Bombyx mori: one gene and its partner. The protein of the gene in region 1 binds, or shares a complex with, the protein of each later gene. Links are inferred from orthologs where the notes say so. Each region holds a gene or a part of one and is shown in the gene's direction. Other genes may lie near its edges.

What was found. The genes of interacting proteins can lie anywhere in the genome.
Region 2: serine/arginine-rich splicing factor 1A (region 1) and proliferation-associated protein 2G4 share a complex: the UniProt entries of both Homo sapiens proteins name them as parts of the ribonucleoprotein complex. The link is inferred for Bombyx mori from reciprocal best matches to the Homo sapiens genes SRSF1 and PA2G4.

What each region holds. Positions count from the first base shown.
Region 1 is NC_085122.1:430,117-433,880, reverse strand, and holds the start of serine/arginine-rich splicing factor 1A, read left to right. Parts: upstream 1-1,180; 5' UTR 1,181-1,399; coding exon 1,400-1,578; intron 1,579-2,321; coding exon 2,322-2,685; intron 2,686-3,579; coding exon 3,580-3,656; intron 3,657-3,764. UniProt on the Homo sapiens protein: Plays a role in preventing exon skipping, ensuring the accuracy of splicing and regulating alternative splicing.
Region 2 is NC_085115.1:12,272,906-12,275,382, forward strand, and holds the end of proliferation-associated protein 2G4, read left to right. Parts: intron 1-592; coding exon 593-739; intron 740-1,235; coding exon 1,236-1,325; 3' UTR 1,326-1,933; downstream 1,934-2,477. Other genes in the region: MICOS complex subunit MIC13 homolog QIL1, read right to left, coding at 2,035-2,223, 2,303-2,459. UniProt on the Homo sapiens protein: May play a role in a ERBB3-regulated signal transduction pathway. Seems be involved in growth regulation. Acts a corepressor of the androgen receptor (AR) and is regulated by the ERBB3 ligand neuregulin-1/heregulin (HRG).

The sequences.
Region 1 (3,764 bases):
GTCTCGACTCACCGCAGACTACGAGCAGCACTAGCGACAATCACGCAGCAATTCAAGCTCAGCCTCGACTCACCGCAGGCTTCGAGCAGCACTGGCCCTTGCAAGCTAATCTCAGCATGGACAACGCTAACTAAAAATGACACGACCTCCAGTCTCGGAGGGGAGTGATGTGGCGGGTAGCCATCATACAACGCAAGATAATTGACAGATGTCTGAATCTCGCTTACGACATTTTCAAGTTAAAGCGCATATATACAAGTTCCGAACAACAGCATTCGGACCGTCGGTCTACCGAGCAATATCACCAGCTCGATGGAAGATCTTCCCTCGGTCGTTAAGCTTCCCCTACACTAATTTCACCAGGACAGTTAGGTGAGCAAAAGCGCAGCCAGGAGGGGTGGGATTACTTAACAGCTGCCCGAGCGCCTCCGAAGGAGACTTATCAACTCAAGAGTAGCTGCTTTGACAGCTGATCCGACGAGAAACTCAGCGGGCTGATACATAGATTAGGTTGCACGTCGAACTCTTTGTCGAGTTCTATGAGTACGGTTACCGGGGTCCCTGAGCCTGCTACTAGTGTTAGAGCTGAAGGCTTCTAATGCAAAGGTTATTGGATCTGATGGATCCGTAAGGACGTGTCTAGGGCATCAACGGTGACTGGCTCCTGCATGATTAGAATTCGAGGAGTAATCAACGGTGGCACCAATAAGGCGATTATCATGACGCATAGCCTTATTGTATTATTTATTTTATTTTATTTTATTTAATCCATTCAAGAAGATGACACCTTAAGCACAAGTTCAAGTACAAGTTCTCTAGTAAGTTCCTACCTGATTTTATATGGGAAAACCCATACTTTAATGTTACTAACATAACTCGAAACTGCCAATATTGATCAGCCTATATATTAATTTCCATTTAACAAAAGTGAAGGGCAGCGGGCTCGAAATTAGAAAGACCTATAAAACACGCTATAGGTACTGATTTCGACACAGAAACTTCCGGACAAGCAGGAAAGAATGATAAGTGTCCTGATCCTGATATCACCAAAAGCAAACTACATTTCAGATTAATTATTCAATTTTATGGTGTTTAGTTTTAAAATGTGCCGGACGACTACATACACATCTTTGTATAAATCCTTTCACACGGACTTTTGTAAAAATTATACAGCCACATATTTATAATCTATGACCAGGTTTTTCCACTTCCGTTTTCATGATTATCGTTTTCTTTTCTGTCAAATCCACCGTGATCCAAAATCGGAACATTGACATTTGACGCCATATTGCCCGACTTTCAATTACACACAGTAAAGCGTCGGATTGGTGAAATTAGTCGATGAAGCCAACATAATAATAAGTAAACGTTTAAGCAATAGTAATATTCTTTAGCTATAATGTCGGGTGGAAGCAGTAGCAACAGAAATGAGTGTCGTATATATGTTGGAAACTTACCACCGGACATAAGGACAAAGGATATTCAAGACTTGTTTTACAAGTTCGGAAAAGTAACGTTCGTTGACCTAAAGAACAGAAAAGGTCCGCCATTCGCGTTCGTGGAATTTGAGGATCCCAGGTGAGTGTTGAATTCGAAAAGAGAAACGGGCTATCTATATTACTAACGTTGTCCATGTCTGAGTAGCGATAATCATCCCGTGTCAGGTGGACGGAATGTTCAGCTGCCTTTGAAGAAGATTTAAAAGAGCGCATACGTTATGCCGCATACACCGCTATCTGTACCCGACTATAGCGAAATGAACAATTTTATTCAGCGTTAATATAATTTTCCACACCACAGATACAGATACAGATTAAGTAAACATTTTTACTGATAAATGAAAATGGGACTTTAAATTAACAATTAATCATTTATTATTTTATGATTAATTGACAACTAATTAGTTTAAAAGTTGGCACATATTAAAATATATGAAGGGTGGCACAGATTTAATAGTCTGCCAGAGCACCTGTATCCATAAATCTAATAATATTCACCTATGATTTCTAATTATTTCAGAAAAATTAAAATCAATAAAATTTGCTGATTATTGCCAATTATATAAAATTATAACACACATATAAACACACAACATATTAAATTAAAATTACACAATGAGTGATGTCAAAACTGTGTGTGATTGGTTCTTTTATTAGATATGTCCACTTCATGGTGAGTTGTTACTGTCACTAATGAACGTCAAGAATACCAGGTGCACAGCTCAGAGCCTGCCTTGTTTCACTCCTAGTAGAATATACAGTCATATCTACCTAAATTAATCTGAGACAAGTTATTTTAATAAAATCTATTTTGGAATTCAGAGATGCAGATGATGCAGTAAGAGCCAGGGATGGTTACGACTATGATGGGTACCGTCTTCGAGTCGAGTTCCCTCGTGGAGGTGGAGGTGGAGGCTCTCGTGGTTCTCGAGGCGGTGGTGACCGTTGGGGTGGACGAGGGGCAGCACGTGGTCCGCCCGCTCGACGCTCTGAATACCGCGTGCTCGTTACCGGCTTACCGCCCTCGGGTTCCTGGCAGGACCTCAAAGACCATATGCGAGAGGCCGGCGACGTATGCTTTGCAGACACCTTTAAAGATGGATCTGGTGTTGTGGAATTTTTGAGGCATGAAGATATGAAGTATGCTGTTAAAAAGTTAGATGATTCTAGATTTAGGAGTCATGAGGTTAGTTTCTTCCACTTTATTTGAAAATAATTATAAACATAACCTGTAATGTGAAAGAACAGTACTGTTGGTGGATTGTCCCAAATTTTTTATCATTGTTACCCAACGTGGACATAAAAGTTTCAAGATAATCAATTGTGTCAAATACTTTTATAGTTTAATTTGAATTAGTTAGAAGTTTAAGGCTCATGAAGGAGAAATTAAACCATGGGATAGTGCTTAAACTGTTCATTTACAAATAGCTGCTCAAAATCAACAACTGTTATTTTGTGTCAAACTCAGTAGATATCTATAATGTCCAAAATTGCATTCTGTAAAACTCAAGTAAATAAAGTAAGCAAAACAAACTTTTGAATTCTTTAGCTAGGTTGGACTAAGCTGTCTCCTTTTTCTGATTATTTGCAATACCAGTTTTTTTTTTTTTTTTTTTCAATGTTTTTTTCTGCCCATACTTGTTACCAATTTGTTTACTGAATTATAAAAAATGAGATTGTCCTTTCAACATACAGTTAAATATTTTTTTTAAAAAACAATTCACTTGTCAATTATGGTAAAGTAATTTCAGTTTGAGAAAAACTGATATGAGATTGAAAAGAACAAATGGAATGTAAAATGAGATGTGAGGCAACAAAACATCATCTCAGCTTAAGTAAACTGAGTTTGCTTTCATATTGATATTACAAAAGAAATTTGAACCATGGATCAAATTTGAACCATACTTTCTTAATCTTGATATTACAGACCTTATGGTCATAGATGATGAAGATTATAAAATGAATGAAAAGAAAGCTATATTACACTGTAAAAGCGTTTTACAATCAACTCAAGAAATTTAAAAAGCAAGCAGTGTCATGTAGTGCAAGATTTAGACGTCTATTAAATATTCATTTCCAGGGTGAGGTGACATATATACGTGTGAAGGAAGACTATGGCGGTGGCGGCGGTGGCGGTGGTGGCGGCGGCGGTGACAGGTACCACTACATACCATTACTACATTAACTGACTACTATATCATTTAATTGGCCAAATATATTGATTAAACTAGCTGACCCGGCAGACTTCGTAGTGCCTCAATCGAT
Region 2 (2,477 bases), on another chromosome or scaffold:
TCAAAACAGCAATAGCATTTCATTTTAACCAACTTCAAAGAAGTGAGGTTATCCAACATCAAATTCTTTTTTTTTATTAATATTATTACTGCTCGATATTGTTGGCATCTCTGTTGTTCTTGAATGTATAAGATAGATCAGTTAACTCCATAGAATAATACAGGTTTAGCTTATCTTTCTTTTGTAAATATGAATGTTGATCGTCTGTGGCTTGGCAGGTGACAAGTCCTGTATGATGATTTTGAGTCATGCCACTTTTGGCAAGTAAATATGTTCCTTACACAAAATCATATTTATGAGATTTTTTCTAAATAATTAAATGATATGTAAATACGGACATGAATAGATATGAGCATTAGGCCTATTTCTGGTGCAAAGACGCTATGCATTCAGGTCCAAAGGTAAGATATTTGATGTAGCAGAACAATATAGTCTTTCAACTGTGTGTGTTCAAGTGACTGACTGATTTATTAATGTAAAGATCAACTCCAGTAACCACCATATTGGGTGTGAGTTTGCCTAAAGCCAAAATAAAATAAAAATTAATTATAATACTATGAACCTGACCTGACTTATTAAAATTGTTATTCAGGTTCTCTATGAGCGTCCAGGAGAATTGGTGGCACAGTTTAAGTTCACGGCTCTTCTGCTTCCTAGTGGCACACATCGTATTACTGGCTTGCCTTTTGATAAAAGCCAATGTAAGAGTGAACGCAGCATCAAGGATCCAGAACTTAATGTCAGTATTGTTTACTATTATTATCTGTTTATTGAAATATTGTAATGTGAACAGTAACTAAGACCAGATCAGGGTGCTATCTACAGAATGGTACATGTAAGGGCTTAGTTTTTTTTTTAAATTCTGTTATAGAAAACAAAGGTCTATATTAAAGCTATGTATCATTTTTTAATCATCTAACATCAATTTCTATAAAGCACCTACCATTATTTTATTTTTAATTCAGAAAAACAGCTGTAACTTGATTCTAGACAAGATTAAGACCCAACATGATAAAAGTAGAAAACATATTATCCCTGCTATCTTTCATAACATATCACATTGTGTGTTTTGAACAAGCTCAGGGTAAAGTATTTGTAATCTTTTTGAGCTGACTTGTTTTTGTTTTACATTTCAGTTTGAACTATTACAACATTCTGTGAAATCATTTTTTTTTTTTAAATCGCTATGAAGGTGATGATAGTCTAATAAATTGTTTTTCTGTTCTAACAAACAGGCCCTTCTAAATTCATCAGCAAAATCTAACAAGAAGAAGAAAAAGAAAACAGGAGCTGAAGAGCCCATGGAAGTGGAGACTGCTGCCTAGCAAAAATACATAAGTGCCCAGGAATAAATGATATTAACATTTTTCCACAATATAAATGGACAAAAATAACAAAAATTGTGCAATTTTTTACTGAGACAACCACATCTTGACTTATAGTTATGTGAATAAATATCTAGCTTTGTACCTACAAACAAACCCAAGATCTTCTCTGATCTTGGCTTAGACACCAGAATGCCTTCATTTATAGAATACATTTTATAGCATAATAGCTTTTCAACTTTAGTGTCCAATTTCTTTCACATAAGTGTGTACTAATTACTTTATGTAGCCATTTTGTAGGTAAATAAATATGCAGTTATTTTTGTGTACATGCAAATACGTTTTATGGTAAAATTTGATTATAATCAAATTAATCATTCCTGAACTGATATAGTTGTGCACAAATACTTCCCTTTGCGAAGTTAATAATTTGAATGTTTCATTTTTTAAACTGGAATGTGATTTTGTATGTTAAAATAAACAGTGTGTATTATTATTTTTCACAAAATTGTGTTCAACATGCATGAATGTTATAGAAAATTATAAAATATTGACACTGCAAGAAAATTAATAAATCAAATTGCCACAGCTGTGGCCTGTTTTGTAAAGTTGCATTTTATTTCTTATTACCACCAGCTCTAAATTCATCTGATGAAATGTCAATTATACATTTAAAGTATTTAATAAATTACAATTATTGACTAAGTCTTCATTTATCTTTTTCTTGATGTGGTTCTGGAGTTTCCAAAGATGATGAAATAAAGTCGTATGTCTTGAAAGCTGCATTACTAGTATGGGTAGGCAATTCGACTAAAAATCTAAATGTAGCTTTGACACCGCAATTCCAGTAGTACTTGAACAAATATGATATCCTGTCATTAGAAGGTAATGCTGGTAGCTGTAATTAAATAAACATTGGAATTAACATAACCGCAAAAGAAATTAAAAGTAGGTAGTTAATTGAGTTAAGAACATACTTCGTATGGAACTTGGCTCTTTAGTTCCCCGACATATGGTGACATTCCTTTTTCAAGTTCATCATATATCGCCGCTGTCGTAGCACTATCTTTCCACACACCTTTGTCTATTGTGTAGTACACTGCGGATCCAAGTAACGCAGATTTCACGCCAAACCTACATACACAGTTCAAA